2 linked regions of the Tamandua tetradactyla genome follow. The protein of the gene in region 1 purifies or fractionates together with the protein of each later gene. This does not show direct contact. Links are inferred from orthologs where the notes say so. Each region holds a gene or a part of one and is shown on either strand. Other genes may lie near its edges.

Region 1 (7,416 bases):
ATTTGACTTCCTTCCATATTCACACTTTTCAGATTAGCACCTTCTAAATTGGCTTTAAGACCAATTCAAAATTACAGTTTCAAGGATGCCCCTTCTGCATTAGAACATAGCATCTTGAGCCCCTGGAGATTTGCACAATCAAACACTGATCCAGAGAGATCAGCTCATTCAAGATCTGCACAGCAGAGATTAGCATGTGCAAGCCTGCAACGGCTTATACTGGCCATTTTGAAGTTAATGTATTGAAGGTACAAATGAGAAAGATCAGCACCACTGAAGTTCAAACCCTGCCAAAGCAACTCTGATTTAATTGGAGTGGCTAGTAGAAATTGGACAAATTCTTTTCTGGATATTGGTGAATGATCCTCTAGTGGTTAAGAATTCTTTATTGCCACTTCAAGATGTTCAATCAATGAGTCAATAACAAAAAATCTTACTTCTTCTAATACGCCTAGTAAATTAATGTCATCATTTACAATGAGCTGTCCATGACGCAAATAGTTCACAATGGGTTCAAAGTACTCAGGACTTCAGTCAATTAAGAAACTCCTCTACAATCTTGCTTATTTCCCCAGACACCTTTGTCTTTAAACACGTGGGCCAGCATACTATAGGTTCTTCATTTACCAAAGTGCTCTGTGTAGTTGTAAACTACCGCCCTCCATTAGCCAATCTGTGTGGGATCCTGTCAGTCCTTCAGGTGGTTTAGAATCTAAGGATCAATAAATTGTTCTCCTTCACATACAAACTAAACATCATCATCCCTGATCAAAGCAATATCATCAATCAGCCCACCTTTCTCATTATACATGCTGGTGGCTGATGCCAAGTTTATTACTGGCCACAGAAAGCAAATCAAATAAAGTTCCATACAAAGCAACCACTTCTCCATTCTTGGGGCTGCTGTTAAGGAACAGGGTTACCCGCCTCATCATGCTGCCCCCTCTGGGTCCAGAGTGAGCCGCCACCTTCGCACCTTTTTCTTCTCCTGCCCTTCTCCTCCCTCCACCCACTCCAACTCTCCTCCCTTGTCACCTGCAGCCTCTTACCATGAATAAACTTTCACTAGCAAGGACATCATTGTTGACCTTGTTTAGAACTTTAGCAGTGGGGTTGAATCAGACAGCATCAGGTTGTACTGTAAATGGAAGTGGAGACAAAAAGTCAAAAAAGAATGTTCTCTTTTCCTCTCTTTTTTTAAATGACTAAATTAAACATGGTGTAGATGAATAATTTCTGATATAAAAGATGTTCATATGTGGTGAAAAAGCAGATTATAAAACAGTGTTATAGTATAATCCCACTTGTTCTAATTATCTTTGGGGGGTGGGTAGGCACGGTCCAGGAAAGGAATCTAATTATGTTTTGCTGTATAACAAGCCACCCCCAAATTTACTGGCATAAAACAATAATATATTATTATTTCTCTTGGTTCTGGGGATAAATTGGATTCAGCTGGGCAATTCATGATGCGGGTTTCTCATGGACTATAGTCAGATATAGTGAATAGGCTTATGAAAATTCTTTAATTTGTCCCTTTGCTTATTGTCTAGTTTCTTATCGTTCCATAATAGACACACATATTGGATTTATAGTAAGAAAGCCAATAATAGCTATTTAAAATGTACCAAAACAGAAGTTTGGCTGAGAAGGGATGAAGAAAGAAAAGATGGCAGATAGAAAGAAAAGCAGGTAAAAGGATGTTTTCTTTTGAAAGTGGGGTGGAGAGGGGTGGTGGTGTCAGTCATATTTTGAGGCCAAGGTAAACTCCTCTTTCACGTCAGCTGATGTGATTGACACCTACGAAGTATTTCTGCACACACACACTCAATGCGTTCAAATGTGTTGACCATGAGGAAACAATCAGACAAATCCAAACTAAAAGACATACTGTAGTACTGATCTGGCCTCTTCAAAATAGTGACTTAAAAGGGGGAAAAACGTCTGGGGACTATTATAAATTAAAATAGAACAAAGAGACACATGACAACTAACTGTATGATCCTATATTGGACTGTGGTGATTTGAAGCTATATGTACTCCAGAAAGACATGTTCTTAAATTTAATTCAACTTATATAAACTCATTTTAACTAGGACCTTTTGATGAGGCTACTTCAGTTAAGGTGTGACTCACACTCATTTAGAATGGGTCTTAATCCTTTACTGGAATCCTTTATAAGAGATTACAATTCAGATAGAGAAAAAGAAAGCCACAGAAGCAAGAAAATGAAATCCAGAAGAGAAGGGAGAAACTAGAAGATGCCACCATATGCCGCCTGCCATATGACAGAGGAACAGGGCTCGCCAGCCAGTCTTTGGGAAGAAAGCATCACCATGATGATGCCTTGATTTGGACATTCTCATGGCCTCAAACTGTAAGTTAAAACGTTCCCATTCATTGTTTAAATCCAACTCGTTTCATAGTATCTGCTTTGAGCAGCATCGGAAATGAAAACATGGATCCAGGATTGTGGAGAGGACAGGTATAAAGAACATTATTAGGACAGTTAGGGAAATTTAAATATGGTAGTTACATCATTGTTTAATGTTCTGAGTGGGGAAATTTCATTGTGACTATGTAGGAGAATGTCTCCTTGTTTTTAGGAGATGTATGCTCAAGTATTTAGGGTGAAGTGTTAAAGATGACTGCAACTAACTCTCAAAAGGTTCAAGAAAAAAGAGAGAAAACGTGAGAAATGTACTGTAGGTTTGGAACTTTTCCACATAAAAAGTAGGGGAGGGGAAAAAAAAACAGATTCTTCTACAGGGTGTGTGTGTGAGTGTGTGTGTGCTCCAGATCAAAATGTTCTGTCTTGAGTGCTTGTGGGATGGCTGCTTCCTGGCCCCCTAGTTGCCTGGAGGTATGAGTTTTCAAAGTCCTTTCTCCAACTTTTTGATAAAAATCTATGAGCTTCTGCTATGCTTCCAGTAAATTCCCTTTTGTTTAAATTAGCCATAGTGAATTTTTATCATTGCAACCAAGAACTCGAACATAAAACCAGCATGTATACAATATACACCACACAAGGAGTTTATTCCACATAGTTTTAAGGCAACCAAATGAATAAACTTTTAAATGTTTGGGGGCATCAAGATGTTCTTGCCTACTAATGAAATGTGACAAAAGTGAATCCCTGTACACTTGTTAACAAATTTACTATACTTGAATATGAACTGAACAGGTCTATTACTTTGCCCAAAGCTGCTGCTGCTTTTTCTACTGTGCTTTAAGATCAATCACTTAATGTATACCTAAAATGGAAATCAGCAAGGGTCACTGAAATAAGCGACCCAAAACACAACAAAGCAAAGAATAACTTATATCAGTAAAACCCACTGGAATTCATTTGCGGAAGGGACACACGTAAAGGCGCCACTGGTTCACACTTCGAATAAATGTGCCTCCCCACTGACAAAAATAATTTAGAACCACAGTTCACTTTCCATAAGAGAACAAGTGCACTTTTGTACAGGAAAATTAGGAGGTGGGGAACATGAGCGAGTTCCAAGATGTGATTCATCACCCGGGTTACTGAAGGAGAAAATTAATATTTCGATGATCTACCATGTGCAGTGCACATTTGCGATCTCATTTTTAATCCTCACAACTTCGTGATAGAGGTGTTTTTATCTTCATCCTGCAGAGTCCTAAAGGAATCTGCGGGCAGAGACGATCAAACCTCGATCGGGGCACACCAAAATCACCTTTATTCAACACGCTGTGTTGCCTCAGGGTAGATAAGGTTATGACGAGGCCTTTCTGGGAACGAAGGTTCCCAGAATTTGAGCGGAATGTAAATGCCTAAAGCAAAACTTCAACTGATCTCTTTGGAGCCAAAATAGACACTACTTTTTGCCGAGGCGGCGCTTTGAAATAGAGAGCAACCCATCGCCTTTCACGCTGCTTTTCGACTTTTTAGAACAGCTGATCCTTTTCCTCTTAATGGGAAAAAAAAATCAAGTGAAGGACAAATAGCAATTACTGAGAACAGTTTCAAAATCTGTAGGGGGTTATATCACCAATTCAAACCAGGTGAGTGCAGTGATTGAGTCAGGGACCCTGTAGGTGTAGGCAGAGCCAGCACGTCAGGATTCCAAGTCCAGACATCTTCTAACCAAGAATACAAGAAAATTATTCACATTTTTCAATATTAGCAGTCTACGTCGCCAAGCTTCCAGTACCTTAGCTCAGCGCGGAGACAAACACCACTGAGGAAAAGCGAAGACATACGTCACGGCCAAACGGGTCACGGCCAAACAGGTCAAGACCCACCTCCTGCCCACCCCCCGCCCCCGGCCCAGACCCCGCCCCCAGCCCAACCGGGCCCTGCTGGGCGCGGTCACACACGGACATCCGTTCGCGCCTGCGCCGATCAGGCCGGCACCGGCGCCTACGGGAGGAAAGGGTTGCGCATGCGCCCGATAGTAAAGTCATGGGCTTTTTTGCGCTTTTTGTTTGTTTCCTTTCTTCTCCCCCATCTCTTTTCACTAACGGGAGTTCAGTCGGGAGTGCTTCCGGGTTGAAGGGTTTGCTTCCGGAACGCGGGAAGGCAGAAACGCGGTAGCTCATTTAGATCCGAATTGCAACCTAAGTTGGTTAAGAAGGCCATAGCCATGGACAGGTCAGTTCTGGTGGTGACAGCTTAACCCGGGAACTTGTCCCTATTGCCTGCTGGTGGAACGGAATAGGTGAAACCCGACTTACAGAGGAAGCCAAAGAGGTCTTGTGTGCTCTCTCTAGATTCCTTTCACTGGCTGGGAGCTGATGTAAGAAAGGCTGCTTGGCTGGGATGAGGGGTGGAGCATACAGATAATGATAATCGCCTGCGTTCCTACGGTGACTCTGTGATCTATCTATTCTGCGCTTCCACACATTTTTCGCTTCTAGGGTGGGCAGGCTAAGTGGTGGCTCTGGATTAGAGATGCTCAGTGACTGCTTGAGATCACAAAGCCAGTGACGGAACCGGAATCCAAATTCAGACTTTTGGTTCCTGGCAGTAGCCAACAATTGAGTGTCAACTGTGTGATTGCCACTGTGCTAAACATTTAAGCATATTATTAGCTAATTTAGTCTTTATAACAGCGGAGAGAATAGGCAGTCTCATCCTCTCTTCATAGATGAGAACATTGTGTGAAGTTAAAAGAGATAAACTTGAGTCAAAGTTAGGAAGTTAATGAGCAGAACTGAGTTCCCTTGATGAGTGAATAGGTGTTCATCGGGTAGACAAGGGGATAAATGTAGGTCTCTGTAAAAGGAGCAGCATGTATAAAGGTGTGAGGGTGTGAAAGTACATGCATTGTGTAGATAAATGGTCATATGTAGTATATATTTGTATGGCAGTGATGTTTATGACTGAATGTAAGGCCAAACCTGTAAGCTGGGATCAGGTTGTGAATACCAGGCAAAGGAATTTAGACTTGATTCTATAAGCTGGAGGGAGCTAAGTTTGTTAAGGTAGGTCAGACTTGAGGGTTTTAAGTGGAAGAAAAGCAAATTAGATTTGTGTTTTAGAACACAGATCTCTGAATCCATGCAGTTTAGTTTCTAGACCTTTGGATGAGAACAACAGGGGAACTCTGGAGCATTATAAGTACAACATTGGTAAGACAGGAGACAGGGTACCTTGGGGTTGTTTCTCCCAATTTATGGGCATTCGTTTTTATTTAACCTCCCATCTCACAAGCTCAAACATCTCTACTAACCGACTTTTCCATAGTACCCATGGAAGTATTTTGGAGACTACAGAAGATCCTTTAAGATGAGTTTCTCCATCCTGTAGGGGAAAGAACATTTTCCTTCATTAACACTTATAAAATCTTGACCTACCTTAACAAACTTAAGTGCTTTTCTACAGTTGTGATGTAAATGTTCATTCACATGAGCTTGATTGTACTACTTAGGAGTGACTTTGGAGAGATGTCATCCCCTGTGATCCGGGAGGCAGAAGTGACACGGACTGCACGGAAGCAGAGTGCTCAAAAAAGAGTTTTAAGTATCCTTTGCATTTTAGACATCATTATAAAAATTGCAAGATATTTGGAATTTCAGTTATGGAATTTTATTTTTATGAGCAGTATTAACACTAGTTATTAAATATTGTAGCATATAATGCTACATGATAATATAGTAAGTTTTATGTTTCCCTGAAAATGTGTTCCATTTTACTGCTGACTATCATATTGTGGTTAGGTTCTGCTGACATGGTTCCTTTTTTTATTTGAACTTAGACTAAGAACTCTTCATTCACTATATAGTAATTTAAGACTGACAACTTAGAGTTTCATTGACAGAGGAATTTGTTATGTATTGACTGCATAAAAAATAGTTGCTATGAACTGCACTGTTCTTGAAAAAAATGTATTCACATATTTTGTGTAATATAAATATGCTTAATCCTAACTTGATCTCTTTTCTGCATGGAAAATTTTCTTTAACTCTTCTAACAGTTCGAGCATCCCAAGATGAAAATTTAGCTAATACTACACCAAGAAACCAGGTTATCCCTCGAACTCCCAGCTCATTTCGACCGCATTGTAAGATTTTTTTTTTGCTTTTAAAACATCTAATAATAGCACTAATAATAGTGCTAACATTTGTTGTACATGTAATAAATATATTTGGTTGTAATATCAATAATTAATAATAATAATAGTAGTGATTACAGCTACTATTTATTGAATTCTTACCACATGCAAGTTATACTTTGTATAAACACATGGTAGCTGTGATGTAGATATTTTCAATATTTACATTTTTTCAAAATTAAAAGTGAGATTTAGAGATGTTAAATAACTTGGTTAAGTATGTAAGTAATGTAACCAAATTCAAAAGTGGTCTGCTTACTCCAAAACTCATGCTCTCTACACTATACTTCTTTCTTAGTAAGCTTTATAAAATTAGAATATTAAGAATTCATTAACTCATTATTGTTGTGTTTTTTTTTTATTCTTCAGTTATTTTATAATGAAAGCATCTCTATTTGTGGTAAAAACCAAACACTCAAAGTTAGCGGAGCAAAGTTAAATCTCCCAGTCAAGAAAATGTTAACATTTAAAGTATTTATTTGTTTAGACTTTAAAGAACTAAAAACAGAAAATTACTTATGCTGGATTGTTTGTTAGCTTGTTTTTCTTAATCTCTTATTTGTAGTTACTCCCCTGAACCGAAGCTTACTAAGGCAGCCAGATACTTCCGGCATTCTTGGAACAGGAGGAAGGTCGCCCAGGCTTACACAGTCTTCGGGGTTCTTGGGAAATCTGTCCATGGTATGTAGGAGAATGGGGCTGAAATCTTCCCCCTTTTTATGAAGGTATAAAATTCAACTGAAAAACCTTTTCTTTTAATAAGAATTGTCATCGTATTCATCATAAATCAAAATAACTCTGGGTTATATGGATTGAAATTATTTTTTGT
Region 2 (7,918 bases), on another chromosome or scaffold:
CTGCTAACTGGAATGGCTGCATATCTACATATCCTCTGAATATCTTCAGTGCTGAATGTCCACAACATTCTATGCTATATCTTCTTCCTAGGAGAAGGTGAGCTCCCTGGAGCCAGGGTTTGAGTTAGCTGCAGATTTTTAATCCCTTCAAATCATCTGGCACAGTACTTAGCAGTACAGTGACTACTTGCTGAATGAACAAATGAATGAACAAAAACTGACATTTTTACTTTGCTCAACCACTACTCTCTTTAAATTCTTAGGATATAAAAGGAACTGACAAGATGTAGTAGAGAGGCTGGAGGGAACTGCCTGAAAATGTGGAGCTGTGTTCCAGTAGCTATGTTTCTTGAAGATGATTGTATAATGATATAGCTTTCACAACGTGACTGTCTGATTGTGAAAACCTTGTGTCTGATGATCCTTTTATCTGCCTTATCAACAAATGAGTAAAACATGAAATAAAGATGAATAATAGGGGGAACAAATGTAAAAATAAATTTAGATTGAAATGCTGGTGTTCAGTGAGGGGGAGGGATGGGGGTATGGTTTGTATGATTTTTTTTTCTTTTTATTTCTTTTTCTGAATACGTGCAAATGTTCCAAGAAATGATCATGATGATGAATACGCAACTATGTGATGATATTGTGAATTACTGATTATATATATAGACTGGAATGATCAAAAGTTAAGAATGTTTGCGTTTGGTGTTTTTTGGTATTTAAAAAATTTTTTTTCAAAAAAAGGGACTGAAAGCACAGTTATATTCTGGAATTGATATTTACCATACCTTCTATTTCATCTTTTCAAACACAAGCCCTGCTGATATAAAGTTTAGACTTAGCTTTTCAGAAAGGTGGTTTCTGGAAGAGGATAGCTGCATTTGTGGACAAAATGTACACAAGTAAAGACAGCTTCTTTCATGAAATTCTAAACTCCGTAAAGAGAGGATCCCCAAGAACTGCAAGGGCAAGTAAGGAAGACAGATAAGGGGAAGAGTCTCCTATGTATGTAGAGCACTACATGTTACAAAGTGATTCCACATGTGTGCTTGGAGGTACAAAGGGCAGAGTTAATCAGGGATGTCTGACTCAGGAACTGAAGCTCAGAGAAGAGAAAGTACCTGGTCACAGTGACTAAGGAAAGGCAGACCTGGGAATGGAGCCTTTCTCCTAGCTTGCAGCCCACAAGGCTGTCTATCTAGAACATAAAGTAGCTGTTACAATGTATTCCTTAAATCCAAGACTGAAGGCTAAGGAGAGTCAGGAAGAAAGTTTACTAGGAGGTAGTTTCATATCAGGTCATCAAAGGACCTTAAAGATAACTAGCATTTATTTCTAACCACTCTCACCCACCAGAGTTGGTGAACCATGATTCTCAACATGTGTGTGTGTTTTGTTTTTTTTTAATATTTTTATTGAGAACTACCCACAAACATTCAGCCCAACCACAGTATATAATCAATGGCTCACAACACCACCACATAGTTGTGTATTCTTCATCATGATCATTTTTAGAACACTTGCATCACTCCAGAAAAAGAAACAGAAAACAAACAAACAAACAAACAAAACCCCTCATACATCCCATACCCCTCATCCCTCCTTCTCACTGACCTACAGTACTTCGACGTACCCAATTCTTACCCTTTACCTCCCCTTATTATTTGTTTATTTTTAATTCTGTTTCTTCTTCTTCTTCTTCTTTTTTTTTTTAACTCATCTTTCCATACCCTGGATAAAAGGAGCATCAGACACAGGGTTTCCACAATCCCACAGTCACAATGTAAAAGCTATATAGTTATACTGTCATCTTCGAGAATCAAGGCTACTGGAACACAGTTCAACAGTTTAAGGTACTTCCCTCTAGCCACTCCAAGACACTATAAGCTAAACAGGGATATCTATATAATGTGTAAGAATATGTGTGTTGTAAGCTCTTAAAGCACTTCCTCCCGAGCACACGGAGTTATCTGTGTTTTCCTTTTTAAAGTTCTAGGAGGCAGTACTCAAAACAATTCAGCTCCTCAGAGTCAGTCCATGAGTTAAAAATTCAGTTAAAATGAGCTGAGTATCAGAGCACAAAAGATCCTATTCAGCACCTGAAGCCTCTTCACCCAAAAGAGGAGGAACTAAACCCGATGTCTTGACTTGGGGTTTCCACACGTCTGTGACTGAGTGAGCGTTTTTAAATGAACCCTCACGGGCTGAAGATGGAGGCTTCCATCCACTATTTCTCAGTTCGGACAGTCAACTACCCAATAAGTCTGGAGTACACGTACACCGTGGATACCAATGAGATAAAAACCTCAGCTCCTGCCCTCCAGAAAGTCCTTCAGCACATCCTTACATTCAGTTTCCTGAGGGGATCATCATACTTAGGGTACCTTCTGTGGGGCCCTGCGCTGAGTAAGAGTTCGACAAACATCTCTGCTGGCACAGGTGGTAGGTGGCAGAACTGAATCTTAGCTCTGCGACTCTTCTGCTGTGCAAGACGTTCCACATCTCCGGACCTTAAGTTGTCACATCTGTACAATGTTGATAATAATACCACCCACCTCATAGGTATACTGACAGACTGAGCTTATGAACAACACTGGGAACTGACTACGGGCTCGGATACGGTAGCTACAATGCTATTTTGGGTTCTGTTTGTTGAGGTAAGGGAACTAAAGGAAGGTACGAGAGACGCGGCGGCCGCGCGGCACGCAGAGTTCCGGGAGGTTCCGCGGCCTTCCCCTCCGAAAGGAGCCGAGCGGCAGGGCCAAAGACCCCAAACCTCGGGAGAGTGGAGGAAGCTAGACGGCCCCTCTCTCGGGCTGAGCGCAACGCGGCAGTGGAATCCGACAGGGCGAGTTCTGTCCGGTCAGCAGACGCGACCCCGGCCCGAATTCCGCTGGGTGTCCCGGGTCCCAACACTCACCATGACTGCGTCAGTGGCGGCTCCGGCCCTCGGACGTGGCAGCTCCCGGTTCCTCCCAACGGCTCACTTCCGGTGCCGCTCGGCCGGAGTCTCCGGTAGCAACCCACACCGGCGTGCAAAGGTTCCGCGCAGTCTAGAGGCCGCGCCGCGCCCTCCCGTGGCCCCGCCCCTTTAAGGATCCCGCGGGCTGACCAGATGAGGCTGCGGGTTCCACCCGGACCCTGACCAGGGGTCACTTGGAATCCGAAACTCAGATACCAAGACCGTCTTCCCTCCGGGCCAGTCCTTCCCTTTTCCTGAGATCCGTAAATGAAAGAAAGGATTCATAACTGCAGCTTCCCCTGCCTCCCTCCGGTTCGGGATGCGACCGTCCTTATGACGAAACATTGTAGGATGATTAAATATTGGGGGATGGGTGGGTAAACTGGACGCACCCAGTACTTTCTTGTTGTTAGACCTTCCTCAGAATCCAAGGGCTGGGACGCCGTGAGGCTTGTTACCCCTCCTTCCCCTAGTCATAGGGCCGATGCCCTTCCCCACGGTCCGGGATCCTGTGAGTCTGGCCCGTCAGGTAATCGACCGGGCAAGGAGGGATCTTAGCCAGGTTCCTACAGCTGGAGCCCAGACCCAACCACTAGAGTCCCCAGTCCTTAAGTCCCTGGTTGTCCAAGGGGAGGACCCCAGTAAGCTCAGTGAGAACCCTGCACCGCTGGACAGAGATGGGGGCTCCTTTCTGCCACACATGGCCCAGGAGTCTGGCCCCTCATGGCACTGAGGAGAGTGACCCAGCGTGGAACCTAGATTCCCCTTAGATGACAGTTTCCTCTCTTGAAAACAGGGTAAGAAATCTAGCTGGATGATTACCGCTTGAGGAAACTCAGGACTTGTACTTCCTTCCAACGGATTTCAGGACTTGTTTATCCCTCTAATGGAAAAATATTGCAGGACTGTGTGGGAAGTGGGGCGGGGGGTGGGGGGAGTGGGGACTAGTATGGAGCAGAGAATAAAGGTGGGGATCTCTTGGGTTTCCTGTTCTTAAAGGAATAGACCTTGGCCTCCGGTCTGTAGCTGCACCACTGATTTCTCTCAGTGATAAGGCTAAGTCAGTTTTCTCCCTGAGCCTCGTTTCCTGAACTGGAAAATGGGGATAATGGCATATCAGATATAATATAAATATAATGCATGGTGGAATAGTTGTTATTAAAAGAATGTCCTTGCATAGGCCTTGAAAAAGAAATTGAGAATTTGGGACAGAGAATGAAACTGTATCTTACGCATTGCTGCAGACCTGAAAGACAGTGTTAATAAACTGGTTTAGAGTACAGGGTCAGGAAGGAAACTCTTAGTTTAAATACTATATTGCCTACCAGCTAGTAGTACCAAGTGGGAACTGTAATAATACACCCTCTGAAGGTTGATATGAGATTAAATGGATGTGAAATTGGAAGTGGATGGGCCTGGGAAGAGGCTAGGATTTGGGGTTCATGTGTGGCTGCATCTCCCATCCCTCACTCAACATTGGGGATGGTGTCTTGCTCTGATGCTAAGCAGAGGTTTACAAAGTTCAGACACTTTGGGTACCAGGCTCCCCTCTTCCTAATAGGGATGCTTCTTACATCCTGTGTCCATTATCTCCTGCCCCCAGAACCAAATCAGGCCACTCTTAGGTCTCCCCAATTTGTGACCCCCTCTCCCCCGAGTCCCTTTGCCTGCATCTTCTCCTCCTCCTCCTGAGGCCCCTTCTAAGATTTTATTCTCTGGGACTATTGGCCATTCCTCATGGAGGGTCAGTAGCTGATGGCAGGTTAAGTTTGTCTCTCTCCTGGATTTTCAGGTATGAATATGCACTTGTTCCAGAAGGTATGACCTGGTGGAAGGAGATACACAGCCTTGGGACTTCCCTCCCAGGGACTTAATTTCCCCGGAATTTAAATCCACGAGGGGTGAGGTGGAGACCCAGTTGTCCTGTGGAAAAAGGTCTTGTGATGTGTACCGTGTCTGTGTTTCCACGTGTGCATTTATTGTTATTGCTCAGTATAGTGTTGAAAAGGCAGACAAATCCCATTCATTACAGAGAGCACAAGCCAGAGATACAGAGAAATAAAGAGTGTACAATAAGAGCACAGTCACTTCCCAGTCCCATTTGTCCCAGAGCCCAGGCAGCTTGTGGAAGCTGGAGGCGGCACCATTCTCTCGCTACTCTGTTATAAAATATGTGCACACAAGAGTTAGCAAAGTGTGGTGACCCCCAAAAGGTCCGGGAGAGAGAGCACCACAGGCATTACAAAACACGTAGGGGTCTGAGAAGGGCAGTCCCAAAGCAGCCTCAAATATCTTGTTTTAAGGGGAGGGGGTGTAGGCTGATGCCCAGAGCCTGAGACCCCCTTTCCCCTACTTGCATGGGTAGATCTCTGCATCAAAATCTGGGGAGCTTGATTTGGAACTTGGAAATGACCCAGGGATTTCCTGCTGTTATCTGATTTAGGATTTGGCTCTGTAAGATCCAAAGGCTTTCTAGAACTACACACACCGCCCCCACTCCCAAGACCCTCTAGTGGTAGGGCTTCAGACACTACGTCAGGAGAGAGATTTTTGTGGGTGGCTTGTCAGAGGGCACTAGGTTGGCAGCCTTCTGTAGGCAGAACAAGAATGTGGTGGGGAGAATAACAGTGGTGATAAGGTCCAGATGAAAAATTGCTGTATCCCAAAGGACCTGTCACACAACCTCTGAAAACTCTGGGTAAGAGCAGGAGGTTCTTAGCTTCTCAACCCCCAAACAAAACACAAACCCCAAAATAGACAGAACCTGCTCAGGAAAGGGAGATGGGAACAGACAGTTCTCCACGATGAGAAATTAGAAGTACATGACAACTGGGCCACATATTCCTAACAAAGGTCTCTCTCCTAGGAAGCTCTGGTAGCTCCAGGTCTGGGAGAGACGCCACTTTCTCAGCTGAGCTAGGGGCAGGAGGAGCACCCCCTCCAGCAAGGCTAATGGTGGGGTGACTCTGGTTCCCAAGCTGAGATTAGGTGGGAGCTCAGTGGCCTTTCCTAACAACTCCTGAGCTCAGGTGACAGATGAAATGATGGGAGGGGCACAAGGCTTCTGGCAACTGGCACACTCTCTTTAGCGGCCTTGAGTGGCTGGTAATTGCAATGAAGGGAAAATGCTTGCACACTGAATGACAGGACCCAAAATTTGGGGTAGGAGGAGGGCAGGGATGGGTAGAATTGGCAAAATGTTAAAGTTGACTTCAAGGAGCAGATGGAAGAGAACAACCAAGAAATTTTGTAAGAGAAGAGTGAAGCAGACTCACCCCACCGGTTAACAAAACGTTATAAAGCTACAATCATTAAAACTGCGTGGCTTGTGCCAGATGAGACACCCAGAAAAGGGAACAGGAGAGAAATTCCAGAAACAGTCCCAAGTCCCTGTAAGACATGGCATTTCTAAAAGGCTGGGAAAAAGAGGGCATTATCCAATATCGGGGACACCCAGGATAAGACAGGGATGGAGGCATTGCTCCAGTACTGTCACTGTCATTAGTCTGGTCTCAGAAGCATGGCGCCCTCCCTCGTGTTGGGACAAAGGGACGGGGGGGCAAGGGGTGGTGGTGAGAGGCTAACAGGAGCAATCGGGGCTGCTCCTGAGTTAGGGAAAGCTCTGCCTGAGTTTCAGGAAAGAAATTCCACAGTCTCCTCCCTGCCCACTTCCAAAGGTGGCTGACTCGATAGCCTTAGGAGTCCCTGAATGGGGCTCCCTGCTCTTCCCTCATCTGTCATGGGGGGCAAGTTGGTGAGTTTAGACTTCAGAACTGAATCAGTTATCTTCTCCGGGGGCTCCTGTCTGCAGGACAGAGGAGAAACTAAGTGGATGGTGCAGCCCCAGCCATAGAGAAAAAGTATACAGTACAGAGTATAATATACTTACTATGTTGTTTGAGGTTGTTTTTTGCTTTTTTTTTTTTAACCAGACATTTCAAAACCACACTGAGGGATTAAGGAGTCAGCAATTGAAAGCATAACCATTGCATAGTATTAAATGAACAGAGACGGTGAGTTTTTTTTATTTACAATTATCGTCTAGATAAAAAAATTCATAAAAACAGATGAATGGTCATAAATTATTTACCCCCTAATGGGGTGAACTGCCAAACGTACCCCATGCTGCTAGATATAGGACGCAGAGTGCAAGCTTTACGGACTACAGTGAGTTTTGACAAACCAATCATTTCCACTGTGTGTGGGGATGTATGCAAGTGTGAGAGTGAGGGGGTGTGCACTGAGGGGCTATCATTCCCGACAGAAAAAGACCAACATGAATGCTGTCCTTTCTGAGGTGGCTTCTGTCACTCCCTATTCCCAAGCCAGGCTCCCCTTGGAGAGGCCCCTCCTGTTTGCCCTGCAAGTGGAACAACCCTGGTGTCACGGGATGAGGTTATGGACATGTGAATGGTACAAAGAAGGGGAGGATGGAAAACGTGAGAAAGGAAACTCCAAAAAACACCATGTTCCACGGCTGTCCCATGTTTCACATGTGCAGGTCTTTCCTTCCTCTGCAGGAGGGTGCAGCTGAGTCCAGTGGCATATCCGAGGGCTGGAGGTGCGGTTTCCTCTGCCGGAAACATTTAGAGATATTTCTCCACGCTGTTCCGATGATGCTTTCTGCCCAAGACAGTCCTACTTGAAAGCCTTCTTCTCACAGGCAGGGTTAGCTCGGTGGGCTGGGCTGACTCTGGACCCAAGCTCTCAAGTTTCTCCAACAGCCATCCAGACCCAGGCCCTCCCAGCTGACTATGGCTCTTTTCCCAAGTGGATCTCATCTGGTTTGTGGAAGAGTTCTCTGGGCCCAGAGAAAGGAAGGGGGCCAGGCTGACACAGAACAGCTCTGGGAAGGGTCAGCGTGGGGAATGAATTTTGCAAGCGAGGCGGAAAGGGTTTGGTTTTTCCTTGAAGCATGGGACATCATCGATCATGGTATTCAAAATGTCTTTT

Evidence for each region. The genes of interacting proteins can lie anywhere in the genome.
Region 2: the proteins of NUP107 (region 1) and SEC13 purify together in Homo sapiens (affinity purification with mass spectrometry; 8 studies listed by BioGRID and IntAct, counting the BioPlex papers as one, with this or other methods). This does not show direct contact. The link is inferred for Tamandua tetradactyla from reciprocal best matches to the Homo sapiens genes NUP107 and SEC13.

The regions. Positions count from the first base shown.
Region 1 is NC_135333.1:136,834,498-136,841,913, forward strand, and holds the start of NUP107 (nuclear pore complex protein Nup107), read left to right. Parts: upstream 1-4,358; 5' UTR 4,359-4,616; coding exon 4,617-4,624; intron 4,625-5,903; coding exon 5,904-5,995; intron 5,996-6,449; coding exon 6,450-6,536; intron 6,537-7,152; coding exon 7,153-7,268; intron 7,269-7,416. UniProt on the Homo sapiens protein: Plays a role in the nuclear pore complex (NPC) assembly and/or maintenance. Required for the assembly of peripheral proteins into the NPC. May anchor NUP62 to the NPC. Involved in nephrogenesis.
Region 2 is NC_135335.1:38,755,899-38,763,816, reverse strand, and holds the start of SEC13 (protein SEC13 homolog), read right to left. Parts: upstream 3,041-7,918; 5' UTR 2,927-3,040; coding exon 2,924-2,926; intron 1-2,923. UniProt on the Homo sapiens protein: Functions as a component of the nuclear pore complex (NPC) and the COPII coat. At the endoplasmic reticulum, SEC13 is involved in the biogenesis of COPII-coated vesicles.